Rhinolophus ferrumequinum: one gene and its partners. The protein of the gene in region 3 interacts with the protein of the main gene of each other region in a biochemical or structural test. Links are inferred from orthologs where the notes say so. Each region holds a gene or a part of one and is shown on either strand. Other genes may lie near its edges. The genes, in order: CRHR1, SLC22A12, PDZK1 and SLC34A1.

Region 1 (7,381 bases), on a different chromosome or scaffold from region 3:
AGATGCTGCGCATTAAGTGTTTGTTGAGTGAATGCACAGATGGATGCAGCAATGAACACCAACTCCCTTGATGTTCATGCGCTTTTATTAGCCGTTCCCTCCACGAGGCCATTTTCCTGACCTTATACTTCGGAAGCATTCTGGACCAGTGCTATTCCGAGCATGAGCTGTCTGCAAACTATTTTCTACCAGTCCATGACAAGGTTAAGCGCAGAGATTGAGAGTGAGCATTTAGAGATGTAAAAGCACTTTGACAGGGTATGTTTATGTCCCTTAGATCTAACAGTTTTAAAACGTGGGCTTTCATTTTGCATGTCTTTATGTTTCATTTCATTTTTGCTAATAATTAATTCCCACTGTATTTTGCAATAGTATCATTCTGAAACAGATTAAAAATGTTAAAACCATGAACGGGTGCTTTGGCACACATAGGCTAAGAAGTATGGTTCTGGGCTATTGGCCTCACTGAAACACCCAGGGTGAATGCCAAGGGAACCCCACAGGCTGAGCCTTCCCTTGCTGGGCCCCACACTGAATAAATGCAAAAATATGGTAATTGTGCTCGGGGTAAGCACACTTGCCCTCAATTGATACAGACTTATTGTTGAGGAGAGAAGAAGCAGGCAGGTCAGCTGAGGAGCCCTGGGTGGCTGAGGGTCAGCCCTTCACTAATTGTTCTCACGTCTGGAAGGACTTGGAATTGTCTTTTACTGTTTGGATACCTCGTATTTCCTCTTTCTTCCATTTCTGGCGTGTTAAATGAATGAAAGCCTACTGGGCCTGGACAGGAAGAGGATGAGGCCAGGAAGGGGTCAGAAAAGAGTTTGGGAAGGGTCAGGGAGGGAAGAGAATGCCGGAACGGAGCAGCAGTCTGTCCTGAGGAGGGTGTGGAGAGGCTGCCTAAGGAGACCACCCTGAGCTTCAGGCTGGAGCACCTGGGGCTGAGGGGGGTGCGGTGGGGGAGGCATGGACCACCTCTGGCGGTGGCATCAGAGCAGATGAGAGCCGGGCTCTTGAAGGTGGAAGGAAGCAGTTTCAGGACAAATGAAAGGGGATATGGAATCCTTTCACAGAAGGGGTGTTAAAAATGTGGCTCTCGTGAACATCCTGAGGCAGTCAAGGCCAAAACCATAAATAAGTAGATCTTGGAGTGATACAGAAGCCCTCCTCCTCCCACCTAGGGGAGAGGAGGGGCAATGAAATGTGCCCTCCTACATGCCCCTTTAGAAAGAGAATCCCAGGCCAAAAAGACCGGAAGAACAAGACTTGATTACAGCCTGATCGATGTATTAGCATATTTAAAGATCAAGTCAAGGGGAGAACCACAGGGATCAGAAAGGCAACATTTGATGGTGTTTATTAAGCAGAGAGATTCCTGGAATCAGGAAATCTGGAGCTGTCTGGTCCCTGGAGAGTCAGCTCCAAGGTCGGGCAGAGCTGGGGAGTGAGGCCTCTGCAGGGCCTGGGCAAACCTCCTGAGGACCTGCCAGCTCTGATTCCACAAGACCCCACTGCTGTGACCTTCTCATCAAGAATTCTGCTTTCCACAAAGAATTGCCTAGAGAGAGGGACCACACTGCCCACACATTTGAGCATCCGGTCCCCTCAGTGGTGGTGGTAGTGATGGTGGCTAAAGCTAACCTTGAAACTCTTGTTACGTGCCAGGCACCATTCTAAGCCATTTAAAAATAATGATTTACTTGCACCTCCATAAAACCCTATGAGGTGGGTATTCCTACCCCCATTTTATAGATGAGAAAGTAGAGGCACTGTTAAATAATTTCTCAGGTTCATACAGCTTGTAAACAGAAGATCCAAGAGGCTGTCTGACGCCAGAACCTGCACTCCACTAGACTGCCCTGCATTTATTTTTTATTTTTATTTTTATTTATTTTTATTTTTTTGGGGGGGAAGGGGAACAGGACTTTATTGGGGAACAGTGTGTACTTCCAGGCCTGTTTTCCAACTCAACTTGTTGTCCTTTCAATCTTAGTTGTGGAGGGTGCTGTTCAGCTCCAGGTCCAGTTGCCGTTGCTAGTTGCAGGGGCACAGCCCACCATCCCTTGAGGGAGTCGAGGAATCGAACTGGCAACCTTGAGGTTGAGAGCCCTTGCTCCAACCAACTGAGCCATCCAGGAGGCAGCTCAGCTCAAGGTGCCCTGTTCAATCTTAGTTGCAGGGGGCGGAGCCCACCATCCCTTGTGGGACTTGAGGAATTGAACTGGTAACCTTGTGGTTGAGAGCTCAGTGGCCCATGTGGGAATCGAACCAGAAGCCTTTGGAGTTAGGAGCATGGAGCTCCAACCGCCTGAGCCATCGGGCCAGCCCCCCCTGCATTTACTTTTGGTTGAGAACAATAAATTGGTGCAATCTGGGTGGTGCATCCATCTCTTCTGGGAATTGGTTGGGGTAAGTTAGTTCCAAACTCAGCATGACAAGCTCTGGGGCACTAACCAAATGGGGTTTTTCAAGACTCCAGACTGAGTGCTTCATCTAGAAAGTGCCACCCTGTGTGGCTAAGCCACTGTGACCAGCTGGCTGCCTGGGCAATGCCCCTCCCCACCTCAGAGCTTCAAACCCCATCAGGGCCCCCCACTACAGGCACTTTGAGCAGGGATCAGGACGCTAAGGATTAGGCTTACCAGCTATGTGACTTTGAACAGGTCACCACCTGTCTGTGAGTCTCAGTTTCCTCATAAGTAAACTGTTCATGTTGAACCTCTTACAATAACTCCCTTTTAAGAAGAATCAGTTGGACCCATGAACCCGCTGGCTCTTGCCCAATGTGCTGAGAAGTGAATGGGTGGAAGGAAAGAGGGGACTGGGAACAGCGGGGCACAGAATCCAGGGCAGTCAGGTTCAGCGTTTGAGTTCAAAGTCTTCTGACCACCACTCTGGGACTGTGCTCCACCAGAAGTGCTCCACAGGAAAGCTGCGGCTTAGCAGGCCGAGGCTCTTCAGGGAAGAGTGATTTCTCTACCACCCTTTTCAGCTCTGGCGGTTGGAAAGAAGAGGTAGGAGAAGTCAAAAGTTCTGTCCAACTGGAAGGGCTGGAAGAGGGAGGAGTTACTTCCCAGAGCTGGAGGTGCACTGGGGAGCTAGGGAGCTATTCCGGATGAAGACCGGGAGGTTTGGCAGGGCGGCTGACCCTACCCTGACGGCTCGGCCCAAAGGGGGCGCTGTGGCCTCCTCCGCGCGCTGCCCGCTGGATTCCTAGATGCTTTCCCCACTGTAGCGCAATGCGCGCTCGGCTTTCCCCTCCGCGGTGGTCAGATGACGGCTAATCCTGCAAGGCACCCCCGTCTCCCCATCATCTTGGGGTTCCCAGGTTCAGCCCCTTGCCCAAACTGGGCAGGCACTTAGTCTGTAGAATGAATGAATGGATGAAGGAGCGAACGAATGAGTTGAGTGAATGAACGAGAAGGATTCCACCCGCAGAGCTTTCGCGTCTCTGTGAGCACCTGGCGTGTCAGTGCCAAAGGCTCTGGGGGTTCGGCCCAACTCCCCCGCCCTGCTGAAGTGGGAGCCGCAGGAACCTTCTCGTGGCCCGCTTCAGGGCGGGAACGGCCCAAACGCAGTTCCCATTTCTTCACCCGGTTTCCGCCGCGGCTCTGCTCAGTAGGGGCTGCCCTATTCCCCAGCCTCCAACAGTCTTGCTCTCATAGATTCACCTGAGTCCGCCAAGTCTCCCCCAGACTGCCCTGGACTCCCCGGGCCCCGATTTCAAGCCGGGCGAGAGGCCGGAGGCTGCCTCTGCTCCCGTCCCTCGCCCCCCCTCGCTCCCCCCGTCTCCTGCTTCTCCCCCCGGCTGCGGCGGCCGCCACCGCTGCTAGCGCGCGCCCCGCTGACTGCCGCAAACCCTGGAGCTGGGAAAGGGGGTCAGCGCGGCGAGGGTGCGGGAAGCCGGCCGGGGGGAGAGGAGGGGACTGGGAGACAAGGTGGAGGAGGAAGCAGAGGGGCGACGCGCGGAGGAGGGACTGAAGTGGAGGGGAGGGGAGAGAGATTGAGGGGAGGGGACGCCGCGGCGAGGGGGCGGGGAGCCGAGGCGAGTGGCGGCGTGGACCCAGGGGGAGACGGCGGGGGTGAGGCGGCCTCCCGGCGGGCAAGAAGCGGTTGCCAGCGGGGCTGAGTCAGGAAACGGCGGCCGGACTTACCCGGGAAGGGAAGAGCGAGAGCACGCCTGGCGGGGCCGGGCAGCCACAGAGGAGCCCGGCCGCCCATCCCATCCTCCTGAGCCCGCGACCGCCGGCCCGCCCTTTTGGGATGTCCGAGGGACCCAAGCACTCAGGACGGTGACCGAGCGACCCAAGGATGGGACGGCACCCGCAGCTCCGGCTCGTCAAGGTAAGAGCGAGCCGGTAGCTCTCGAGCGCGGGCGCGCTCAGCCCCGGGCCAGCGCGGGACGTGGGTGAGCCGTGTTGCTGGCGGTGCTGGCGGTGGTGGTGGTGTCAGTGGGCAGAGCTGCGCACAGGTCTGGGCGCGGCCGGGGTTTGAGGGGCTGCCCAACTCCCTCTCCCTGGACCTTTGGAGGCGTTGGGTGGGTGGAGGGACAACACAGGTGAAAAAAGAAATCGCGGTGGCGAAGCTGCTGGGATGTTGGCGGAGGAGGGGGTCCGCCCACCCGGGTAACCGGCTCTGTGCAGAGAATCGCTTTAGGCTTTGGGCGTCCAAGCTCCCACCCCTCCCAGGCAGACCCCGGCCCCGGGACAGGGGGCTCTGAAGCTGAGCTCCCTGCCCGTCCCATACCTCTCATCAGCAACCCCTCTCCGCACGCCCCCTCCCTGTTCCTGGGAGCTCCTTCCTGCCCCTTCCCCTGCGCGGAAAGATGCAAGTCCGGGGAGATGAATGTCACCCGCGCCTCGGAGCCCTTGATCAATATCGCAATCTCGGCGGCTGAGACGGTGCATTCGGAGGTGGGTACTGTTCTCGCGCGGCCGCCCGCCCGCCCGCGGGAGCGCAGCGCTCGCTCTCCGAGTCTTTGCACCGGGCGCTGCGCAGTGGGCCGTGAAGGCTCGCGCCTGCCTGGGGTCTGGCAACGCGATTCTGGCGCCCGGAGTTTCGGAAAGTCGCCAGACCTCACGTCCAGCGTCTGCCCGCTGAAGTTCGGGGGCGGCAGGGGGCTGCCCGCGGCGGTGTGGGTCCGGGAAGGGCTGGGGATAGACAGTCCGGCCCGCGGCCACCTAGTGACAGCCTCCACTCCCCAGCGCCCAGCGCTTCCCAAAGCGGTTCGGCTTGCAGGGTGAGGGCACGTAAGCAGCAGACGGAGGGAGAAGGCGGGTGGGCCTACGCGCCGCCGCGGGGGAGCCCGGCCAGGCTCTGGCCAGAGGATCCGGACTCGGCCGGGTTGATATGGACGGCTTGAGTCACAGACGCAGACACCAGCGTGACGGGGTTCAGTGCGTTTAAAAGCGATTTCATTCAGAAGAATTGAGTGGACTGTGGGGAAGGGTGCGGGTTGACTTTTCATTTTCCCATCAGTTATTAAACCAACTGTACGCATACCAACTCACAAAGTGGTTTGAGGTAAACCACCGAGGTTTTAAAACGCAGCTGTTCTCAGTTCATCAGTTGAGAGGTTACCAGTTACCGAGGCTTCTCCGTGTTCTCCCCCCGTGTCCCAGATATTTATAAGTTGTTTTGTGGGTTTTGTTTTTAATGACTGAGGGTTGGTCCGATTGAACCCACATCCCCTTCGCCACCCATTAACTGAGTACTGGGGGTGAACCTAGAGATTATTTTCTGGGTGATCAAGGAGATCTGGAGAGGGAGGTACGAAGAAAAATATCCAGAGAGGATGAATAGATGGCACTGAATGGGAATTTTTTCCAAAAGATTGGTGTGGACTCCCGGCCTTGGTCGAAATTCACAAATCAGTTAGACCGAATTCAGTGTCTTAAATGGATTCAAAGGATTGAACTGTAGACAGATTTTGTTTGTTTGTTTCTTTTTAAGTTTACTTGGTAATAAGTAAATGTTCTTTCTTTTTGGCCTTTCTGAGAATCGTGTGCAAATCACTGCCTAAAATTATCATGTTTTCCTAAAAGAAAAAAATATTTTTTCTGTTGTTGTTGTGTGTGTGTTTTTCCTACTAGATGATGAGGTATGTACCCTTTATGTCTGATCTAATGAACTCAGTAAGTGCTCAGTAAATACCGAACTGAGTGAGAGGCAGTGAGTGAATGGACAGCTAATGCTGGTTTCAGTTAAATAATTCTTTTTTTTCTTTATGCACAACTTGCTGGGTGTTGTTCTACCTGCTTTGCAAATATTACATCATTTAGTCCTCATAACAGCCCTAGGAAGTAGGAATTATTACTGAGGCACAGAGAGGCTAAGTAACTTGTTCAAGGTCACACAGCCAGTAAGTGATGGAGCCAGAATTCAAACCCAGGCACTGTGGCTCTAAGGCTTTGTTTTGTTAGCGTTTACCAGAAAACATTCTAAGCCATTTAACTCTCATCCTAGACCTCTGCCAGATGAGAGTTCAGGTAGTTTTGTCAGTATAAAATTACGAATCTAGGGGAGTTAATCCAAAACCCAGCTCTGTCCCCAGCAAGTCGGCCAGTGTTGGGCAAGAATCCACTCTGCAGCCCTTATTGTGGGCCTTGTACTGCAGAGATTACAGAGAACTGGGGCAGAGTAGGGGTGGGGTGGGGTGGGGAGAGTATGTGGGGAAAATGTGTGTGAGTGTGCATGAGAGAGAAATGTGTGTGCGTGCATGAGAGGGTGGTTGTGTGTGTGAATGCGGGAGAGATGTGTGTGTGCGTGTTTGTGGATGCGAAGGAGGAGATAAGTGAAATATTGCCTCTACACCCAAGGGAGCGGGGTTCCAGCGCATCTGGGTCAACCTACCCACTAGCCACAACTCCCTGAAGGAAGACCCGAGTGTAACTCAACACCGTGGGTTCCGGTGAGTGTGAAGGGTGGAGAAGGCAAGGCCTGGGTGGGTTATTAAAGGAGAGTGAGTTCTGAAGAAGGAGCTGGTTTTCTTGCTGTTATTATTATAAAAGTAATCTAGCCACGTTACACAAAGTTTGGAAACCAGAGGGGAAAATTATTACAGGCTCACCTCCTAACACACCTACTGTTACCATTTTTAAAATAATCCCTCTAGGCCCTTTTTCAAGTGCAGGTTTGGGTAGAGCTGTGACCATTGGGCAGCTCTATTCCACTGACTGTGTCATAGCCCAAGTTTCTTCCATGTTATTCCCAAGCCTCCAGAGGGAGATTGTCAGCATCTGCCTATTCCCTATCAATGAGTGTTCTTTGCATCCCTATGTTGCTGCACATTTGGGCCATTTCCTAATTGTTTCTTTGACAAATAATATGGAGCTAGGTTTTTGAGGGGAACACTGGCAAGAGGGATAACGAGGGGGAAAAA
Region 2 (7,469 bases), on a different chromosome or scaffold from region 3:
CCAGGCCTTTGCTTGTGCAAGTTCCCCAGCCAGGTATGCTTTCCATTTCCGAGAGCAGCCATAGTATGGGGCGCCTGCTCCACACCCACCGGGGCCCTGAGCCTCTGGGGATGGAGGGAGGAATCCAGGTGCCTGACAGAAGTAGAGTGGACAAGAGCCAGTGACCTGTTGGACTGGGGGGAGGGGACGGTGAGGGAGAGGGTGTCATGGCAACTCTGACTCCAGTACCTGGTGGGTGGGGGCTGCTGTCCATGCTGGGGGGGAGCCTTGGGGAGGAGCTGTGTAAAAAGACGTTATATTTTGGTGCTGCGACACCAATCATGGAGATGTCACACAGGCGTTTGGAAACAGCAGACTGGTGGCCAGGGAGAGGCAGGACTAGAGAGGGAATTCAGGGTCTGCAGCATTTGGAGGAAGAGCTGTGGGCACAGGTGAGGCTGCCTGGGGAGGGCACGACAAGGTACTGGCCACGTGCTACTGGGGCCAAGCACGGTGGGAGGAGAGAGATGGCCACGGGATCACGGTGGGTGACGGACGGGGAGGAACAGGGAGGGAGAAGGGTGAGGAAGGGAGAAGGAGCACCTGAGAGGAGCAGGGAAAGGAGACGAAGGAGACAAATCCTGGACAATTGAGCTCTGGGTTGGAGTAGGTGAACATCGAGGGCTTGTGGCTGCCAACTCTGCCATCCTATGACTCCCCTGCTGCCCTGTGCCCCTGGCTGCCTGCGCCCCCAGCCCGCTGCCCCTGGGGCGAGGAGAGTCTCCTATTCCCCTGGGTGGAGGGTAGGCAGGGTCTCCTCCTCTGAGGGGGATGGGGGCAGCACCCACCAGGAGTACACAAAGCAGAGGAAGAAGGGGGCAGAGACTGCCAGCTGCAGCAGCGTCCAGTCGCGCACACCATAGGCCACTGCGGCCAACAGGACCTGGCCGAAGCTGAAGCCCAGGGCGTTGAAAGTCATTGCCAAGGCTCGGGCTTGTGCTGATGTCCACTCCACCACTGCAAGGAGACCACATAGGTCATTCCAGGAGCCTTTGAGAGCCTCCCCTGCATGGCCCCGGGTCAGGGGGACCTACGGAGAGTACTGGTGTTCATCATGATGCCCGCGATGGCAAAGGCAGCCAGAAAACGGAAGAGGCAGTACACGGGGAAGGTGGGGGCAAAGGCAGTCGCTGTGCCCCACACGGCCAACTGCAGGTAGCTCCAGGTCAGCACCAGCTTGCGCCCAAACCTGTGACACACACCGGGATGGTGGCCAGGTCCACTGTGGGCCGCGGGGTTCTGGACCACCGGAGCCCACCCTCTGTCCGCTGTGCAGAGGTGGATGCTAAAGGGACACCTGGGGCCAGACCCACATCCTTCATCCACGGAGGGCCCGTGAGCGCAGGTGCACAAAGACACTCTGGGCAGGAAGTGAGTTCCCTGTCAGCAGGAGCATCCAAGCAGCAGCTGCAGGCAGGCGTGTGGCTGAGCAGGTTTCAGCAGTGAGTGTTTGATAAGGGCATGCTCCTCTACAACCCCAGAGGAGAGACGGTGAAACCAAGGCCCAAAGAGGGCACGAACTTTGCTCAGCAGCACAGCCAGAGGGTGTCAGGAGGGGCACTCACACACAAGCATCTAGCGAAGGCAATGGGGCCTGCCTGCACTAGGGGTACGCACCTGTCAGAGGTTTGGCCGCACACGGCGGCTCCCACCAAGATCCCAGCCAGGAAGATGGACTGGGCCATGGGCTTCAGGGCCTGAGAGTCACACACCAGGTCCCACTGGTAGGAGAGATGGGAGGAGCTGAGCTCAGGAGGTTGGAGGGGGAAGATGAGAAAGCCCAGGTGGGAGGGGGCAGAGGACCTAGAGAGGAAGGTCCCAGGCAGCTGAATGTGGGTGCTGACCTGGTGACCTCGACCTCTAGGGTCATAGGGCAGGGCCCTGTGGGACAGCAAGGGCTGTCACCTCCTGCCTAATCCCCTTAATTGCTCCCTTTTGCCTCGGGTCAAGGGTCAAGCCCTCCCCAAGCTGGCACCTCCTCCCACCTCCCTCTGCTTCTTTACAAAGAGGCTCTTCCCGCTTGCTGGGATGGGCGCCTTTCCTACTTTCCCAGATTTGTCTGATGCCTCAGGAATCCAACGAATCTTCTGAGTGGAACCGAGCCCACACGTGGAGACGGCTGCCTGAGCCACCGCTGTCAGGCGGCAGCAGGGCCAGCCTGGGTGTCCAGGACACCTAGTCGGTGCCGCCTGCTCCTCTACCAGCACCGGGCCTCTGTAGGCTGTTTCCTGCCACCCCCTCCTCTGTAGGGCGATGCAGCTAGAAGCTCCCCTGAGAGTGGGGCGGCCTGCACCGGCGGTCCCTCCTGGGAGTGGGCCATTCGGAGTCCAGCCAACTACGAGCAGTGACTTTGGCCTCTAAGGTGGCCGGACTCGGGGAGGTTGTCAGGAGAGGCCCTTACCTCAGCCACGATGGTGGAAGTGAAGGTGCTGTGGTCGTAGACCCAGCCATCAACACACGGCTCAGTGGCAGCCTCACTCCAGTTGGTGGCTGTGGTGTTGGGCTCCAGGAGCTGCCACTGTGGATGGCGGAAGCGGCGGCACTGGTGGGGCTCATGGTCGGGACCCAGTGGGATGGACACAGCCAGGAGGGCCTCAGGGCCCAGGGCACCAGGGGCACTGGCCTGGGCAGTGCTGTTGTCCAGGAGGGGCACCCAGCAGCGGTGGCTGGGCACGGCGGCCGAGAAGTTCTCCAGCATGTTGTGAGTGGTAAGCCACATGATGGGGACCACCAAGGCCACCGTCTGCAAGACCTGGAACCGGCCCAGGCTGCCCACTTGGTCCAGGAGTTCAGAAAAGGCCATGGAGCCCTCCAAGGACCCCCTGGAGGTGCCCACGTCACAGAGGCTGGCTCAGGGCCAAGCGGCCAGCGCCAGGAGCCTACCTCCTCTCTGGCAGCACAGGCTTCGCCAGCCAGGCAGCCTGGAGCATGGCAGCGGCCCCAGCTTCGCTGACTCGGAGGCCAGCAGCTGTCACTCAGGGTGGCTCCAACGGGGACCCAAGGCTGTGTGGTGGGACCCTGTAGCCACTGGCATCTCCCCAGAGATGCAGCTTCCCCTGGACCTCTGGGAGAAGCTGAATTTGAGAAGGGGGAAAAGTGGAGACTGAAGTCACGCAGACTGGAATTAAACTGTGACCAGGTGGCATTTATAGAATAGGGGTTAGTAATCATTTCCTCTGTCAAAATTTAACCCAGCTCTGAGGGAGGCACAAATGCAAAAGAAGAGCAGCCCCTGCCCTGCGTGGGCTGGAGGCCTGGCCAGGAGCAGCCTGGTCTCTGATGGCCGTGGGGGAGGCCTTGGCTTTCCCCTGGAACGCGTGCAGCTGCTGCTACCCCCTGGCACCCCTGCCTGCTTCACTGGGGAGCCTCCTAATCTTTGGGCTGGCGGGAGCCTGGAGCGACATCCCGTGCACTGTGAAGACCTGTGTGTGTGTGAAGTCACCGGCCACCATCTGAACCCCGTGCCTCCCAGCTGGTGTGGCCTCACTCCCCGCCCTCACTTCTCCTCATTTGCAATCATTGATGCCTGTCCGCCCTTTGCTGTCACCCTCTCCTGAGCCCTCTATGGGACTTTCCAATGTCACCAGACACCTTCTTCAGGCAGTGCCTCCGGCCTGGAATACTGTCTCTAGCCTCCCCCTTGGATCACATTCTGCATGGACTACAAAAGCCTCCTCCTCCAGGGGGCTCTCCTTGCTTAGCCGTGTCCCCCCTCTCGCCTGGAAGTCCGCAATGAGCCCATCTTCACACTGCTGGCACCCTTCTATTATTGTCCAGCTGGTCTCATTCCAGTTCCTGGGAGGGCAGGGGACCTTCTGCTGAACACCCGTGGAACCCAGCGCCAACTCAGACAACAAACAGGTTCCGTGAAGACTTGCTTCAGCTGGTTTTAAAAACAGCTCGTATTTTTTTCTCCTGATTATAAAATTAATGTATACACCTTCCAAAAGACTCAGAAAATATGGAAAGGAAAACAAAGATCACTCCTAAACTTCTAAACCAGCCAGTGATCACCACCCTTAACACCTTGGTGCAAATATTTCCAGACTCTCCTTTAGCCCCTGGTATGTTTACTTCATCAGCCTGGGCTGCAAACTAAGCTTAATTCTCCTTTTGTAAAATCCAAATGAAAAGCTTCTGACTTCCCCAGTGATTCTAACCCATTTGTATTATTGTGGTTACTGGCATGTTGGGACTTACATTTTCTTCTTTACCGTATTTTCTCTTTACACCTTTGTTTCCTTGTTCCCATTTCCTATGGAATTTCAGATTTTCTTGCTCTGTTTGTCTTCCATCCTGGTTTGGCAATGGGACTTTTTATTTATGTTAGCTTTATATTTGAACTCACAAACTAGGAGCTACCATGTATTTTATACCATTTCCTGTCTTCAAACCTCCCCCCTTGTCTTTCATTCGCTCTCATTAGAAGATGTCTCCCTTCTCCTAATTTCACTAAGAAAACAGAAGGCGTCAGAAGCTAACCGTCTGATTCTCTTGGCAGCCCGCCTGCCTTGGTGCCCCCACGGTCTGCCTTCCCTCCTGCCACCGTCAATGCCCTGCGTGCTCCCCCTCGTCCTGGCCAGCCCCTTACTGTGTGCCCTGCAGCCCACCCCCTCCACCGGCTCAAGTCCCCCTCTCTCCCTGGCATCTATCTTTCCCTCCCTACTGGACAATTCCCATCAATGACAAATATGCTGTTTCTCCTCCAATCCTCAAAAAATCCTCCTCCTTTCCAACCCATCTTCTCTCTTCAGTGCCACTCCTTTCTTGATTTCATTTATAGCACAATTCCATGAAAGCATCACCGACACTCGTCTCCAGTTTCTCTCTTCCCCTTCTTTTTTGATTCATTCCTATAAAGTTTTGCCCTGTCCCTCCACAGTTACCAAAGATGTCCCTGCTGCTGAATTCAGTGGCATTTTCAATCCATACCTGAGTCGCGCCCTCACCGCCCCTGCCCCTTCTCCCTCCAGAAGACTCATTGGTTCTCCTTCCCTCCCCACCTGCTTCTCAGTCACTTTGCTGGTTTCCTCTCTTCTCCTCACACTCTGGCCGTGGGAGCCAAAGTGCTTAGCCTTGGTTCTCTTCTCTCTATCTTTTCTATCGTTGGGACGATTCGGACCTCTTCTTGGAGTGCTAAACTTTAATCCAACTGCCGATACTCAGGGGCCTATTGAGATAAACTTCCAGGCCCCAGGGGAGCCGCTCCTACCTAGGGTGCCACGTCAGCAAACCCTTAGATGACTTCTATGTCCCTTTACATGCTGCACTTGACCAGAAGGCTGTCTGTCCAGGTAGCCATCATCAATGTCAAGGCCCCTCTGGGCTCTCTGCTTACTTCCGGGCTCCTTCTCACCCCAAACAAGGGTCTCCTCTTCCTTGTTCTTCCTACAGAACTGTCAGGCCTTTAGCTCCATTTTGCAATTATTCCCGTGGAGACTGTCCACTTCGTGAAGTATGTCATAAAGTTTGTTTGTACCATCTCCACTGTCCTCTTCAATTGTTTAGTAAGAGTTTTGGGAACGAGGATGGGATCCTAAGCTAACTGCGAACGGCCTGTGGGACGAGACGCTCTTTGCGCTGACGGTTCCCCCAAATCACTGCCAAAGGCTGTGGGGAAGTCACTGTTGGATTTGAGCTCCACTCCCTGGCGTGCAGCTCTCTGACCCAAATAAACCTCAGTTGTTTTCTTTAATCATTTTATAACAGGCCTAATAAACATCCCACACTTACCGTGGCCAGAGCTGAACTCCCCGCTCAACATGCGTCTCTCATGGCTTTCCCCATCTCAGCTTTTGGCTTGCTCGGGACAGTGCCCTGAAGTCATCTCTGACCATTCTCTTCCTTTCACACCCCGTGTGCCATTGGCCAGAAAGTCCTGTTGGTTCTACCTTCAAAACGTGCCTGGGACGTGTCCACCTCTTAGTGACTCCACTGCTGCCACCTTGGCCCAGGTCGCTGTCCTGCTTCCCTTGGGTCATTGCAGGGACCTCTTCATTGGCCTCCCTGCCTCCACCTGTGACCTTTACAATTTATTGTCCACACACAGATGGAGGGATTTCATTTTACTTCCATCAGACCATGTCACTGCTGTGCTCAGTACCTGGCGGTGTCTTATCTCACACTAAGTGAAAGCTGAAGCCCTACAAGGAGCGGCCCTCTCCCACCGCTTTAGGCTCATGTCCTCCTTGCTTCGTTTTCTCCACACCAGCGCCTCTGGCCTCTTTACTGTCTCTTGAATGTGCCAGGCCTGTCTCTACCTCAGGGCCATTGTACTTGCTGTGCCTTGTGGCAGGCACATGTTCTCCATGTTCTCCCAGAGAGCCCCTTCCCTCAAGTCTTTGTTAAGAAGTCTCGTTTTTGGTTGGCCCAGTGGCTCAGGAGGTTGGAGCTCCATGCTCCTAACTCCGAAGGCTGCTAGTTCAATTCCCACATGGGCCAGTGGGCTCTCAACCACAAGGTTGCCAGTTCATTTCCTCGCGTCCTGCAAGAGATGGTGGGCAGCGCCCCCTGCAACTAAGATTGAACACAGCACCTTGAGCTGAGCTGCCGCTGAGCTCCCGGATGGTTCAGTTGGTTGGAGTGCATCCTCTCAACCACAAGGTTGCCAGTTCGATTCCTCGACTCCCGCAAGGGATGGTGGGCTGCGCCCCCTGCAACTAGAAGACGGCAACTGGACCTGGAGCTGAGCTGCGCCCTCCACAACTAAGACTGAAAGGGCAATAACTTGACTTGGAAAAAAGTCCTGGAAGTACACACTGTTCCCCAATAAAGTCCTGTTCCCCTTCCCCAATAAAATCTTTGAAATAAATAAATAAATATAATGTAATATACTGACACATAATGATCATGCCATGGAGAGAAACAGGGTGGCTTAAGGGGTAGAGTAAGGGGTCCACTTTGAATGGGGCAGTCAGGGAAGACCTCTCTGTGGAGGTGACATTGGAAGAAACCTGAGTAGCCTAGGGGACAAAGCACAGATGCATTCCAAGCAGAAGAAAGAGCAAGTGCAAAGGCCCTGGGACGGGCGTGTGCCTGGTGGGCTCAAGGAACTGGACTGAGTCAGGAGTGGAGTGAGCGAAAGAGAGAGTCGGATGAGACGTCAGGAGAGCAGCGATGGGGCCAGAACATGCAGAGAGACCCCCCTGGCTGCTGTGTGGAGAACACACCTAAAAGGGGGCAAGTGTAGGAGGACGGTCCCAGGAGGCTGTTGTATGGTCCATGAGAGAGGTGACAGGGATCAGGGCTAGGACGGCAGGGCAGGTGGGGAGAGGTGCTTGCCCTGGAGCTATGTTGATTTGCTTCGGGTTGGATGTGAGTGCTGAGAGAGGAGAAAAAGGATGACCCTCTGGTCAGGTGGGTGAAGGGGGGAATAGTTCCTGAGATCTAGAACATGGGCCGGGGGGGAAAGCAAGTTTGAGGGGGAAGTA
Region 3 (7,075 bases):
AAGGGTCCGGCTGCTCGCTGCACAAAAGCGAAAGCTTGGGAGACTAGGTTAGTGTATTCAAAATGTCAGCACTCTGGGAGGATGGCGGACTTCTGTCCAAAGGCCATCCCCCCAACTCCCAGCATGGCCAAAAGGTTTTATAGGCAGGTAAGGAGACGCAGAACCAAGGAAAGTGGAAGTTGGTCAGGCACTTCCCAGAGGCTGCTTTGTTTCAGGGATAGGAGTGGATCTTATACAGACATGAGAACTTCTTTCAAGTCATTGAACCAGGTATGCATAGGGTCAGAAGTAAACAGAATCATAAAAACTGGTATGCATAGTAAATATATAGTAAACAGTCATTAAGGTTTGGTGGGAGGGGAGGGAAGCAAAGAAAACTTTCAAAAAGTCCCAAGCTAAACTACACTACTAAATCAAATTCCCCTAGAAGTTTAAATCTCAAAATAGAAGATATAGTGTCACCGTTACAAGATGACCTGAGAGTATCAGTTCTTCAACCTCTTCTCCTTCAGAGCAGCTTATCAAAACATCCCGATTCTGTCCTTGCAGCTTCTTTCCCGCCACACTAACTGCCATTGATCCAAATAGCTAAGCATCTACTCTCTGCCAGGTGTTGTTCTGGGAGCTGGGATCACAGCACGTACCACAAAAGACAAGATCCCTGCGCTCTTGAAGCTAAACATCTGGCAAAGGTGGTATATACAAAGTAAACAAGATGACTTCTGAAGATAGAGGCTACACATGAAGAGATACGGCGGTGGGGTGGAGGAGGGAGGGCCCTTCCTGGGGAGGTAACCCTTTAATTCAAACCCAAGTGCCAAGAAGGAGCCAGGCGTCTAAGCTCCAGGATCTATCATACCTGGTGGGCTGAACAGAACAACTGCGATCGTCAGTCTCAACCCCTTTTTTTATAGATGAGTAAATCGAGGCCCGATGAGATTAAAAGACGGGACCAGGTCTCCTGATGGACCGCAAGGCTGTTTCTCCCACTATCCTCAGAGCCTTCAGATACACACATTTGAGACGTACGCACGGGTGTGTTTATACTCAAACACATAAGTATGATTTCATTTTCAGTGCAGCCTTTAGCAAAAGAGGAGAGGCTTCGATAGATGATGAAATGGAGGCTACAGCTGGCGAAGTGATTTGTCTAATAGCCTGTCGCTGAAAACTGAATCAAACCCCAGGTTATTTGCAATCCACCCCCATGTTATTTCTTCTGTGTAGCCAGTGGTCTATGAACGTAAGACATCATTCCTAGCAACTTCATAGTTGATGGTGCAAAGAACATGCAAAAGAGTCAAAGATAAGAACAATTTACTTAGTCATAACATACAAACTCAAAGTCCCTGAGTTATTTGCTGCAGGAAAGAACATGTGACCCCAGGTAACTAGACAACCATGACCTGACACAATCAGTGCGTCCGACTTTGGGACACAGTAATGAGAGCATGTGGGTGCAACACTGCAGGGACTAAAACTAAGAAGGAATGTGTCCTCAAGAAGCCAGCCCAGACCAGGATTCTCCTTGGTGGGTGAGTCCTTAGAAGAAAGTCTCATGTGAGTCCCTTGATCCCTCTGCTTAGGAAAGAAGCTGCTAGTTGGTTACCAACCTGCACACAAGAGAACCATCTCGGTGAGTGCTAAAAAGAAAACAACCCAGATTTTTCCGACCTACGCGAGACCCAAAGAACTAGAGAATCCAAAGGGTAAAGCCTGGAGGTCTACGTTTTAAAATTCAGCCAGCCTAGAAATCACTGTTTCTCCTCATTTCTCCGTGCTATGACGTAATGAAAAGAGGAGCAATGCCTGTGTTCATTATCCAGAAAGTTAAGCTACGTTGCATCCTTTAAGACAACCTCTAACACCCAAAGCCCTTGCGTAGTGGGACGGCGCTGTATCTCGTGACCTGTGAGGTCTGTCGTCTCACTCCCTTTGGCTGCATATCAAAGCCGCATACAACCCTGGGAAGATTTTTCTGAGGATCGTCCCCAATTCCTTGGTGAAGCAGACCCTCTCCTGCCAAGGGTTGGGGCATCTCCAACAGAGAGAATCTTGGAGAGAGGTCAATCTCTCACCCCACCCCCCACCACCACCAAAGGGGCCTGGCTCCTCCCCCGTGAGCCTGGCTTATGCTCTGAACAGCCAGCTACTGCTTAGAAAAGGAAAGGGGAAAGGAAGAAGGTGCTTCAGGCCCAGGTGGGACACAGTCAGCTCTTACCTGGGTCTAGAAGAGGAGCGGCTCGTACTGGGGAATTTACTGTCTGCTGGCAAGCTGTAGTCTTGAAACTCACTGGACTTTGAACGAGGATTGATTTAAAAGCTGATGTATTTAACAGAGACGCATGGTCTGAGTTGAAGTGACCTCTGTCCGGCTTCCTGCCAGCTAGCTCAGCCCTGAGCTGGACAAACCCCAAAAGCCCTCAGCAAACCCAACGCACTGGCCCACCGGCCTATCTGTGCGGGATGCCAGCCCCTCCCAGAAAGGAGGAGGGTGGAGAACAGGGGAAGGACAGCCTCTGCCTTCCTTGGTTCCCTCCCTTCAGCAGATGCCACGGTCACAGCCTTAGGAGCCTCCACTATCTTCCATCCCAAGGTCAGGACTGAGGCTCACCTGAGCATCCCCACCCACTGAGGTCTTCCCGAGGAGCAGGAACCTGTGCGACGCCCACCAATAGAAGGCCAGGAGGCCGAGAAGCCCAGTGAAGGGAGCAAAGCCCCTCCCGTGCCCATCCTTTCTCCTGTCTGCGAGGGAGTTCTCGCTGGCTCCCTAGGAGTAAAGCCCGGGCTCTTACGTCCCAGGTCCCTTTCTCTTGTTAAGTGCTCTCTCTCTCTCACCTGAGCGTGCTCTGCTTCTCTTCTCAGTTGTCTTCCCCTTCCACAGTTACGGCCTCTCCAGCAAGCCCCGCCGGACAGGTGGGAGGCACTTGCACGCGCTCCTCTCAGCCCGGCCACCTGGGCAGTGTGGGGGCGCCCCGCGCTCGGCTCAGCACCCCAGCCGGGACCAGCAGCTGATCCGTATCAGCGGCACCCACACAGGCAAACCCAGCACCCGGCTCCTCACTGACCTGGATCCTCAGCCCACACTGGAAACCAGGGCAAGAGATGGCTTTAGGCTGTGAGGCAGAGCGACCCACTGGCCGAGCAGGGGGTGGCCTCTCCCTCCACCCCCATGCTGCAAGGGCCATTTGTTTCCGCTGGGCTTTGGCTGCCTCCAACAAAGGCATGGCCCAAGCCAGAGGGTCCATGGTGGAAGATGACAAACAGCTGAGCAGCTAACTCAGGTCACCTCCACCTGGTGCTGTGGCCCCCTGGGCTCCCTGTGTGTCTTCCAAAGTAGAAAGGAGGAATGGGGAGAATCTGGATTTCAGATCTAAACACCTGGGTTCACATTCTGACTGCCATTTCCCAGGTGCTTGATCTAGATGTTTCTCCCTCTGAGTCTCACTTAGCTTCATCCTCTGTAAATACTCCTTATTACGTTGTTTTTAGAAGTTTCCTTTTTTTTATATCGAGTCAAAAAGAGCTCTCACTCCTGCCCACAGGTTCTGATGGCTCCCTCTGAGATGAACTGAGTCTACTCTGTAGCTATATAGCAGTCCTTCAAATACTGTGGGGCTGATGTATCCCCCATAAGCCTCAGTCCTGAAGGTGGTCTGCCTGTGCCAAGGCTTCAGGACTTCTCTCCCTGGACCCAGTCGATTTGTCAATGTCCCTCTTAAAATCAAGGACCTTGAGGGGAAACTTTGTTTTTCTTAACCTTTTTTAAAATTTTTTCGGGGTTTTCTTTGTTGTAATGCCAGGTGAGAGAATTGTTCTATATCTTGAGTGTCGGGTGGCTCTGCAGTTCACTGTCTACAAGTACAGAATTTCACCAACCTGTACCCCTAGACTAGGTGAATTATAGTGTATGTAAATAATGCTATCATTTTTTAAATGAAGGAGCCCCAGTAGTAAAATCTATTCTTGAGCCTTCTGAAATTTAAAAAAAAAGTTGAATGACAGAAGAAAAAAATAAATAAATAGATAACCCTTACAGTGAAGCTTCCACTCCAGCCCCAGTCGAGAGGATTCTCAGACTCGCCCTCCATCCCAGCACAGATGGAACCGCCACCAGCCTTCAGACTGGACATAGAGAGGCCTTCGAAATGCAAAACACAGTGTTGATTCAAAATTACATGGAAATGAGCGATTTTTTTTAAAATGACAAAAACCCTACCCCGGTGAAACACTGAACGGAAGGCGATTTGCCCCCCCACTAAAATTTGGATTTAAAAATCTCATGCCTGTAAGTGGATTTGATCTGATTAACGCAAAGCAGAGTAAGTCTTTTTATAGATGACTCAGATCTAGACATTAAGGAGAAGGGGAAATAAGATTACCTAGCCTGGTAAATCTTCATAGCCATTATTCTGTTATAATGGGGATATCGGCTCAGCATGACCCCAGGAGACGATATCCCCATTATACAGATAAGAACACTGAAATTCATCTGACTAGTTATCGTGTCCAAGGTCATCTGGCTCAGAAAGATTCAGGAGCCTGTCCCTCTCCTTAGGCAGTGTTGTTCCACCCACCATTCAGGGAGGGAGTGTGTTTTTTTTTCCCTGGAGGTATTCAAGCAAAGGCTGAGGATCTGTGTCACGTTACAGAAGGATGTTCTGCCTTGTTAGGAATAGGGGATTTTGGGGGGTCCCTTACAATTCTAAGATTCTGTGATCCTAAATACCTTGGGTCCTAAGGCAAGCCCGTGAAGGTGGATGGTGTAAGTCCTGGTGAGGGTCTAGAAAGCATGTAAAGCTATGAGCATGGATTTTGGCATCAAACAGATAATGTATTGAATCCTAAATCTGCCATTAATAGTTTTGTAGTTTTGTGGGAATTTTTTTACTGTGAGCTCAAGTTTATTTGGGCTTTATCTCTGGGAACCCTTGGCAGGCTGGGTGGAGGGTTTTCTTTGGGTTTTGTCAGCCAGCACCTCTCTATAACCCTAGAATAATGAGAAGACACTAACACCCTGGGGCCAATTTATGTTAATTACTTGTCTTAGTGTTTCTAGATCATGCAAATAATTAATGTCAGTTACAACCCCAGCCCCCCCTAAAGGGCAGATCTGTGGTTGGAAATTTGCAGGAGAGAATTCCTTTTTTTCCCATAGTCCAGGTCAACAGATTGTTTCCTCATTATCCCTGATCTGTTTTTCCCATAAACATATCCTCTTTTATCATACTGATATATGTTTATTATTTTCTGTCTCTCCCCCACCAGAATATAAATTCCCCAGGGTCAGAGATCTGTATTTGTTTTGTCACGGTATCCCAAGTGTCTGGCATATAAGCCTAGCTTATAGTAAGCTTTCAAAAATGTTACTGAATCAATAAGTGAATAAATGAATCTCCTTTTGCCAACAGGATTGGTTTTCAGCTCATGCTTTCACTGAGAACGTAGCTTTTGAGGATTTCAGTTCTGTGGAGGGTCTCAATTCTGAGGTCTTACCTCCTGTCCCAAAGTGACCGTGTGAAAACAAACTGCTAGGTTACTGGTTTCAGCTTTCACTTCACTTCTGGACCTTATAGATTTCTTTCCTTTCTTTCAAGTTCAACTATCTATTTGGAAAAAAAAACTGTTTGATATATTTTACCCAGTTTTTCTATGAACTTTGAAGAGGGAGGGTTTTCAGATGACCTAGTCTGCCATGTTTGCGGAAGTGGTTCTACCATTTGCCTCTCAAAACTCTGGCTTTTTCTTCTGTAAAATATAGATAATACTAACAACCTCATAAGATTTCTTGGAGACTTAAGTAAGAAGACATTTTTACATCACCCAGAGCCAGGTAAATGCTCAGTACATAATCGTGTTACTAATGTTTTTGCAAGAATAAGCCTTCTTAATTTATGGGCACACATTGTACAGACAGGCTCCTGGAAATAAACAGGCTAGAAGTACAGTGGGCAACTCGGGAGCTCAGGATGTTTGGGGCATTGTGGTAGTGTTCTTGCCCACTCACAACACAGCGTTTTGTGCAAGTGGTCAGACACAGAAAACTGGAAACACTTGCCAATTCTCCCCAATATTTTCCCCACCGTGTCACACAGAGAAATTGATAATAATTGTACAGTTCACTAGGGTAAATAGCTGAGGCTTTTCAAGGCTGGAGTGACCGAAGGCCAGCTGCCGCAGGCTCTGCCCAGACCCCCCAAAGATTGAGGGGAATAGTACTTGAGCATACACTTAGAAAACTATAAAACATTGTTGAGAGCCACTCAAGAAAACTTAAGTAAATGAAGATGAGTGATACCATATCCGTGGATTGAAACTTCAACACTGTAAAGACATCAGTCCTCTCCACATTGATCTACAGATGAATGTATCGCCAATCAAACTCCCCACTGGGTTTTTTCTGTGATTTTTTTTGTTGTTGTTATTTGTTTGTTTTTTGGTGGAATTTGACAAGCTAGTTCTGAAAAGTAAGAATAAGGAAGGAGTTGCTCTGCTGGGTAACAGGACAGTAGAGTGACAGTAATTACTACAATATGGCATGGGCATGAGATAGACAAATGGACCGATGGAATAGACTAGACAGCCCCACAACAGACCCGTTCAAATAAAACGGTTGACTTCTGACAAAAAACAGAGGGAAAGGTTGGTGTTTTTTCAATAAATTGTTCTGGTGTATTCCTTTTAGGTGTGTTTTACTTCATTCAATAATTACCTTTGTGAGAGTATCCACGTTGCTGCGTGCAGTTGTTTTCATTCTGGGATTCTGTTTACATAATGTCCAAATACCAGGCAGAACTTGGGAGATGCCTGCTTAGGTGGTAACACGCTGTCCTGACTTCTGGGGTGCTGGCAAGATTCTAGCTCTTGAGCTGAGATGTGGTTACACGGGTGTTTATGACTGAGCTATGTAGTTTAGTTTTATGCCCTTTTCTGTACATATATTGTATCTGATAATTGAGGGTAATAAATATTTTAAAAGCTATGATATGTGTATAGCATACTGGGGTCAATAGAAGAAGCTCTCTGATGCTGGAAGTGACATACCTGGGGGTTTCAGCTGTGCTCAGCCCTACCT
Region 4 (7,980 bases), on a different chromosome or scaffold from region 3:
CCCACCTCAGTGTCACAGGTACATGTGGGTACATGCTGTGTGTTTATATGTATGTGCATGCACGTGAACCAATGCACATGCACTGCAGTGCACATATGTGAATATGTGTGGGCACGTGCATATGAAGCCATGTGTCCTATATGCCAATGTGTGTCTTGCTTGTGTGTGCACACGTTGTACATAATTGTGATGGCTAGGCTATGGTACCCAGTTATTCAATCCAACACTAATCTAGATGTTGTTTTGAAGGTGTTTTGCAGATGTGATTCACCTCTACAACCAGCTGACCTTAAAGAAAGGAGATAACTTCAATAACCTGGGTAGGCCTTACCCAATCAGGTAAAAGGTTGTCAGAGCACATCTGCAGCCTCCCCGGGGATGAAGAAATCCCACCTGTGCACTGCAGCACGGGCTTCTGCCCAGGAGTTCTGGCCTGCCCTTCCCCACAGCCTGCCCTTCCCCACGGCCTGCCCTTCCCCACGGCCTGCCTCCCAGCTTTGGGCTTGCCTAGCCAGCCTCACAATCATGTAAGCCAATTCCGTGCAATAAATCACATAAGTATGTCCTGCAGATTCCGTTTCTCTGATTTCTTTGGTTCTGTTTCCCTGACTGATGGAATGAGTAACTGTGTGGCAGTATGGAGGTGAGCCTTCCTGGGGTTGTGCCCCCCATTTGCCTCCCTTCCAGCTCCTGGGGCACCTCCCCTTGCTGAGAGTCTTGGCCAGGCCTTGGAGGACAGAGTGGGAGACACCAGAGCTCTGCCCTTTGTCCTCAGCACCCTGTCCCCACTCTTGCCCCCTGAACCCCAGCCCTGCCCTGTCCCCCCCAACCCTCTTGTCCAGCACACCCAGCTGCCCACACTTTCCCGGGCCCTGGTGGGCCAACTCACAGCCAGAGGAGACCATGCTGACAATGATGGACGTGGAGGTGCTGGAGCTCTGCACCAGCACGGTCACCAGGATGCCCACCACCAGTCCCGCCACCGGGTTGGACAGGATGACATTGTCTTTGAAGATGTCGCCAGCCACCTTCCCTGGGAAGCATGAGCCAGTGCTGTCTGAGGCTCTTCAGGGACCCTCCCCCAGTGCCCTCTCCTGGCCCTACCTCCAGCCAGCTGGAAGGCCGAGCTGAGCACATCCAGAGAGCAGACGAAGAGATAGAGGAAAGAGAGCATCAGTGGCACCTTGAGGAGGCTCAGGCCAGCCCGGTGCAGCTTCTGGACCAGTCCGGGCTCTGGAGATGGGACAGCTGTGAGCACAGTAGCCAGAGAGCTGGGGCACTGACTGCTGATGCCCTGCCACCTCCCCACCCAGGCCCACCTGGCTTCTGCTCCTCCTCCAGGGCCAGCTTGGCAGACAAAGGGTCATGGAGATCCAGAACCTCCCCGAAGGGGCAGCTGTGCTCGGCGAGGGCCACGGGGCCCAAGCTGGGGAAGGCATAGGCGGAGGTCCCTGGGATCCTGTGCAGGACTGGGGAGGGAGGCTGGTCAGGAGGCTGGTCAGAGGCCCCAGGTCCGGTGGGGGGGTCAGAGAGTGTGGGTGGAGTGCTAGAGGCTTCGCCCAGGATGTGGGCAACTGAGGGTAAGCAGGGTCCGGGGGTGGGAGCACACTCACCCTGAGGGCTGGGCACATAGGCAAAGGCTGCCCCGTGCATCATGTGCCCCCCGCGAACTGGGAGTGGGGAGACAGCAGGGGCCCCCAGCCTCTCTCCATAGGACATCATCCTGGGCACACGCTGTAGAGCCTGCAGCAACACTGAATGACAACTGCTGTGTCCTGGAAACTCACGCACACTCACACACCCACGCTCACATCCACACTTCCACACTCACTTGCAGAAACACTCATGGCAGGTAATCCTGAACTACACACCCAGAGAAGTACACCATCCACTCCCCCCGACCCCCCCCCCCCGCCCCGGGACGCACGCTCAGGTGCTCAGCATGAATTGGGCATTCATTCATTCATTTAGCAAGGACTTCTTGAGCGTCAGCTCTATTTCAGACACCGAGCTAGATGTTGGAGTTCAGTGGCAGCCGAATACAGAAACAGCTCCTGCCCCCAGGAAGCTTAAAGTGTGGTCCAGAGACAGATGTCAATGAAATAATCCCTTAAATAGATGGAAAATGACAATGGGGACAAGTGTTCTATGACAGATATAGGTGCCTGTGATGAATGGGTGGCCTGTTGGGGGAGAGAAGAGGGGATCAAGCTGAAAAGAATGGTCAGTAGGAGTTACCAGAAGGAGAAGGGGCAGAGTATGCATGCCAAGGCCGTGTGCAGGGAGGAGCTGAGAAGGCCCAGTGGCTGGAGGGGACCAGGGAGCACGCTGGCAAGAGGCTATAGGTGTGGGCCCGGGGCAGGGCCACGCAGGAGTCTTGACTGTCCAGTGCTGAGGAACCATGGACCCCTGCTTGCTCATGGGGCCAGCTGGGCACGCACTCAGGGAAGGGTCCACTGGCCTGGATCCCAAGTTCCTGGCTTCCCCTCACAAGTGAAGTGTTTTCCCCATCCAACCCCTACCCCACCCCCCAACAATAAACAAACCCTGCTGCCTTTCTCCCATGAATGAGGCTCAGACCAGGAATGGTTTAGGGAATGAGGGCCCTCCCACCCTGTCCCCTAGTCTGGGAAGCCCAGACTTGCTTCAGGTCCCGCCCCTGAACTGCCCCAGGAGCTCTTGGCTGTTATGGTGGGAGTGCTCCAGTCTGCTTCCAACCCCCACTCCCACCCCCAGCATTGTCCCAAGGATTCTTGGCTGTGGGGTTGGAGGAGCGGTGTCGAGCTGAATTCCCAGCCCTGGAAGACCATGAGTCCTTTTTACTTTGGGGAGTGAGCCAGATTGGGCTGGGCCTGAGATGTTGTGGGGGCAGGAAGCAGGCGACAGTTAGGACAGCAGTGAGAGGACCGGGATGATAACCTAGGAGTAGGGGATGAGGTTGGGATGAGAAGGCCCTGGGCTCACCTGGGGGTTCTGTGTTTCAGCTCCTGCTCAGCGGCTCAGGGAAGTCCCAGAGAAGCTGGGACCCTCCTCTTTATACCCTCCGGTCAAGGGCAAAGTTCCTAGAACCCTAGCTGCCCTCCCTCTGTTCCCCGATTAACCTCACCCCCGAGATTCCTCCCAGTTAATTGCTAATCGTCAGCTCTGCAGAGGGAGTCTGTAGTCAGGCTATCCCCTCCCCCACACAGACAGTCAGCCTGAGCCACCACCCAGACTCAGCCAAGGCAGGGACACATTCCCTACCCCCAGGTAGAGACCCTGAAGCCACTCAGGCATCTTGTTCCCAGGGCCCCCAAAGAGATTCCATAGCTCCAGTCCCTTCCTTTCATTCTTGGCATGACAGGACTCCCTGGGAGTGACCCAAATGTCCTGTTGTGTCTGTAGGTCTTGGGGAGAAGGTGTTTGGAGGAGAGGGAGTATGTGATGGAGGAAGCAACAGGAAACAAACATGGAGACGCTGCATAGTATGGAATCTTGAAGCGTCTACAATGCCTGACCATTAATCCAGGATGTGAGTCTAACAGAAAGTGAGGCCCCTGGCCAGACATGGAAGGACCTATGTGCATTTTGGAATGGTCCCTCTCGGTGTAGGGGTGGGAATGTGGATTGGGATGCATCACAGGGAGCAAGTCTGAAAGCAAAGAAATCAGTTAAGAGGCTGATAAGATGGTCCAGGTGAGAGATAATGAGGTCTGAACCAAGGTGGGAACAGGAGGGATGGAAAGGGGAGGATGCATCCCAGGGATACTTGGGCAGTAGAATTGGTGATGCGGAGAGTGGGAGGGGAGGAAATATACAGTTGGATTTCTGGATTGGGAAACTGAGGATGATATGAAACTCAGAGGGTCTAAGGAAGACTTTCAGAAGCTTGTTTCCCTTTCACAGGACTGTGGAGCCTGAATTAGTGACCAGATGCACAGAGTGACGAGAAGGAAACTTCCTTTAGACTAAGGGATCATAGTTGGATCAGATCCAGCAATGGTGGTTCCATTTAAGATCTAGTTTGGCAACTGTCTGACTAACCTACCTAACATCATCCATCCATCCATCCAGCCAGCCAGCCAGCCATCCATCCATTCATTCAGCCAGCCAGCCAGCCAGCCAGCCAGCCAGCCAGCCAGCCAGCCACCAGCTGGTCATGTATCTGTCCATCTATTTCTAAGCATATTAGTTGAGTTCCTACTCTATTCTGAGCCAAGATTGGCAAGACCAGCTTCTCTCCTGGTCCAAGCAATGGTCCAATCCCTGAGTCAGCCTGGGATTCTGAGGCCAGTCATCTCACCTCTCTGAGCCATAGTTCCTTCACCATATGGCAATTAGCTCAGCTTTTTCTCTGAGTTATAGAATTCAATGAGATAAATGACCCATTCCGTGCCTAGAACAGAGTCCTCAGCGTGTTTGCTCTCTTCATGCTCTCGTGACCTTTTCACTGTCTCCAGGATGGCTGAAGTATCCTGGCTATAAAATGGCCCCACCTCCTCTAGATTCTCAGTCCTGTTTCAGGTCCACAACTCCTCTTGGCCCACCAGCTACCTACCGTCTGATTGCTCAGGGCCCCCTAAGCTGCAGTCCTACTCAATATTGAACGTATTTTATTAGGGTGACACAGACCCAACCTTTTTTCCATCAAGGAAGGTAGACATTTCTGCACAGTTCCCTCTGTAATGTGACAAAAGTTAACTAGTTAGTACTTAATTTGCAGTGCATTGTGGAGTTGTCCACTGTGTAGTGCTCAGAATGGACTCCGTCGAAGCGACTCAGAGCAGAAAACATGGCAAGCCTGGGTTTGATCCCAGGTCCATCACATCAGGGCTGTGTCAGTTTAGGTCACAGAACCCACAGGGGAGAGAAGTGGGTGGGGGCGGAGGTGCAGCTGGGATTGGTTTGGTAACCGTAAGTCCCGGTTTTCCTGGCCAAGTCCTGGTATGACTGTTGGCCCAGCATCCCCTTTCACTCTGAGACGTGCTCGGCTTAGGACAATAAGCCATATACGAGATGTGATCAAACAATACAGTGAATGTTTAAATAAAAAAAAATGATTACAGTAAAAGACACATTGCCATTAATCCCCCTCAAAATACTCCCCCTTACTTCGAACACACTGATCTCATTGTTCTTGCCACTTTCTGAAGCAGTTCTGGAAGTCCTCTTTCATGAGTGTCTTTAGTTGTACTGTCATGGCTGCCTCGATGTCCCAAATCATTTTGACTTTGGGGAAGAGCCAGAAGTTGCACGGTGTCCGAGCTGGTGAATAAGGTGGATGAGGACACACTGTAATGTTTTTATTTGACAGAAATTGCCATGTACCAGAAGCCATGTGTGACATGGAGCGCTGTCATGATGGAGGATGATTTACAGCACACTTGAAAACACACCTCCCCTCACCTGTAGCTCACACCCGACTGACAGCACTGAACAAGGTGAAACTTGTCACACACCGTTACTAAGTTTCGACTTTCCAATTCCCGTATTGAAGATCTCTGCCTTTCCGTTAGATGGCATGTGGCAGCAGCATTCACTGTAGTTTTTGATCACAACAGAAAGGCTCCATGTCACACATTGATTCTGGTAAGGCAATTTCTGTCAAATAAAAGCATTACGGTGTGCCTTCATCTACCTTATTCATTGGATCTGGCACCATGTGGCTTCTGGCTCTTCCCCAAAGTCAAAATGACCATGAAAAGTAAACATTTTTGAATTGATTCAGGACACTACGCAGCCACAATAGTGCAACTGAACACATGGAAGAGGACTTCCAGAACTGCTTTAGAAAGTGGCGAGAATGATGGGATGTGTTCAAAGCGAAGGGGAGTATTTTGAGGGGGATTAATGGCAATGTATCTTTTACTGTGATACATTGTTTTTTAATTTAAGCATTCCTCGTATTTTTTAATCACAACTCATAGTATTATGACTTGTTCTGGGAGATTCTGGGAAACTGAGGCAGGGAATCAGCCACCTGGTGCTTGCTACAAAAGTCTCCATTCATAGGAAAAGGAAAATAAAAGCAACCCTGCTTCTCAGAACCATCACTGTGATGTTTAGAACAGTGCATTTTGTCCTTTTCTCTCTGCCTTTTTTTTTTTTAATTGTGAGTTTATTTGAGCCAAACTGATGACGTGCTGGGAAGCAAGATCTCAAATGTTCTCAAGAATGAGTTTTGTGGTTTCTTTTTTTTTTTCACCCCTAATTGATGTAGGAACCTCTTCAACCTGGAAAGAGTGGTTTGGATAAGGTAGGGTTCATGCATGGGTGGAGGGGTGTCCCCAAGCTAGGGAAATGCGGTTGTTAGTGAGTTCTTCTGTCGGAGTTGTCCTTAGGCTCAGAGGTCCTGCTAAAGTCACATTAAGGGTGGGTCAGAGGCTGTCTGAGCCTGAGCACCCCACCCGGGGAGCACCCGACGCCCCACAGTGGGCCCAGAGACTCCAAACTGCAGGCCCTCTTCCCCACCCCACCCTGCCTTGCTCAGACTGGGCTGGACAGAAGTGGCCGCAGCCTGCTTCACAGGTGCTGCTTGTGAACCAGGGTGCTTCCCTTTTTAATAAGGTTGATCTTTGACAGTTTCAAGGCTGCCCTTCTCTGCTCTCATGGCGCTCAGGGGTTAGTGGGGGAGGCACTTACTGATCAAACCCATCACAAAAGATATCATTACAAAATACTGTGGACTTATACATTCAAAATATTTCCCAAAATGCTGGGGGTGGGATGGGGCTGCTCTAGCCCTAGCAAAAGCCCCACAACGTGGGAGCCGAGCAGGGCTGCTTCAGGGACTCCTGAGAGGAGCACAGAAAGTGGCTGCACGCCAGCCTCCAGCCTCTCAACCCCTTCGCTCATTTCAACCTCCTTCCTGCTCACAGCCTGCCTCCTCCCTGTCTATGACAGATTCTTTGTGTCCCCCGGAAGGGTGACTCCTGTCCTGTTTGGTCACGTGCACACTGGCCACGGCCTCTCCAGACCTCTAGGCCTGGAACTGGGTGGTTGGCAGTGTCTCACATTGAGAAAAGGCTTCCAGGAGGAGGAGTCATCCTGGAGGGAAGATGCCAAGATCTGTCTGTACTGCTGTGTCTGAGGGGCCTCTGGCGTGAGCAGTTGGATCCGTGGGTCTAAAGCACACACTGTGCTCCCCTTACTCCACATGGGGCCTCCTGCTTATCCCAACCCCAGGAAGCAGCATGTGGTCCATCGAACAGGAAATGGAGCAGGCGTCTTTGACACCTCCTTCTGCACCTCCTCATCTCTAATCCATTGTCCAATTCTCCTGATTTTCCTTCTCCAGGAGCTCTGGGCCACTGTCACTCACCTGGGTTGTTGCAATAGCCTCCCAAATGCTCTCCCGGCTCTGCCCTCACTCCTTACAATCCAGCCTCCAACAAAGCAGCCAGCCAGCTTTTCAAAGCGCAGTTCTCATCGTGTCACCTCTCTCCCTTTTAAATCCTGCCCCTGCTAGCCTCTCAACATGAAGATAGCCTCCATCACAGCCCGGGGTCTCAACGTGGCTTGGCTCCCCCTGTGAAGGTATCCCCCCCAGGGAGAGTATGCACAATGAGGAGAGCTGGGGCCCAGGGCTGAGTCCAGAGGAGCCCCCACATTTCTGGGAGGACAGAGGAAGAGGAGCCAGGAAAGGACACTGAGATCCCCGCCTGCAGCCGGGACCAGGAGGAAGAGGAGAAAGCGGATGCCCCAGAAGCCGAAGTTGCCAAGTTTTGAGAGATGCCCTGGTCAGCTATGTCTGCTGAGAGGGCAGCTGATGTGAGAACAGAGCAGATTTAGTGATGTGGGAGAGCGCTGGGGGAGGAGGCAGCTGGCCACGAGTGGGAAGCGCAGACATCATGGCCAGTGTGAATGTGACAGGCGGACAGATATTGAATTTCGTCACACCAACGAAAGCGATTTTCCCAGGAGCAGCATGGCTGCTGACCGGAGTAGATACGATGCCAAGAACAAATATGCAAGTCCAGGAACGGAGCAAGCTGCGGAGGC

The links.
Region 1: the proteins of PDZK1 (region 3) and CRHR1 form a complex in vitro, tested with the Homo sapiens proteins (2 studies listed by BioGRID and IntAct, with this or other methods). The link is inferred for Rhinolophus ferrumequinum from reciprocal best matches to the Homo sapiens genes PDZK1 and CRHR1.
Region 2: the proteins of PDZK1 (region 3) and SLC22A12 form a complex in vitro, tested with the Homo sapiens proteins (2 studies listed by BioGRID and IntAct, with this or other methods). The link is inferred for Rhinolophus ferrumequinum from reciprocal best matches to the Homo sapiens genes PDZK1 and SLC22A12.
Region 4: the proteins of PDZK1 (region 3) and SLC34A1 form a complex in vitro, tested with the Homo sapiens proteins (2 studies listed by BioGRID and IntAct, with this or other methods). The link is inferred for Rhinolophus ferrumequinum from reciprocal best matches to the Homo sapiens genes PDZK1 and SLC34A1.

What each region holds. Positions count from the first base shown.
Region 1 is NC_046304.1:40,818,527-40,825,907, forward strand, and holds the start of CRHR1 (corticotropin-releasing factor receptor 1), read left to right. Parts: upstream 1-4,372; 5' UTR 4,373-4,841; coding exon 4,842-4,913; intron 4,914-7,381.
Region 2 is NC_046294.1:6,934,197-6,941,665, forward strand, and holds the start of SLC22A12 (solute carrier family 22 member 12), read right to left. Parts: upstream 3,005-7,469; 5' UTR 2,843-3,004; coding exon 2,441-2,842; intron 1,761-2,440; coding exon 1,657-1,760; intron 1,229-1,656; coding exon 1,074-1,228; intron 997-1,073; coding exon 828-996; intron 1-827. UniProt on the Homo sapiens protein: Electroneutral antiporter that translocates urate across the apical membrane of proximal tubular cells in exchange for monovalent organic or inorganic anions. Involved in renal reabsorption of urate and helps maintaining blood levels of uric acid.
Region 3 is NC_046305.1:49,993,610-50,000,684, forward strand, and holds the start of PDZK1 (Na(+)/H(+) exchange regulatory cofactor NHE-RF3), read right to left. Parts: upstream 3,006-7,075; 5' UTR 2,839-3,005; intron 2,452-2,838; exon of another isoform or gene 2,222-2,451; intron 1-2,221. UniProt on the Homo sapiens protein: A scaffold protein that connects plasma membrane proteins and regulatory components, regulating their surface expression in epithelial cells apical domains.
Region 4 is NC_046307.1:5,237,287-5,245,266, forward strand, and holds the start of SLC34A1 (sodium-dependent phosphate transport protein 2A), read right to left. Parts: upstream 3,015-7,980; 5' UTR 2,965-3,014; intron 1,755-2,964; 5' UTR 1,723-1,754; coding exon 1,614-1,722; intron 1,470-1,613; coding exon 1,320-1,469; intron 1,234-1,319; coding exon 1,105-1,233; intron 1,034-1,104; coding exon 890-1,033; intron 1-889.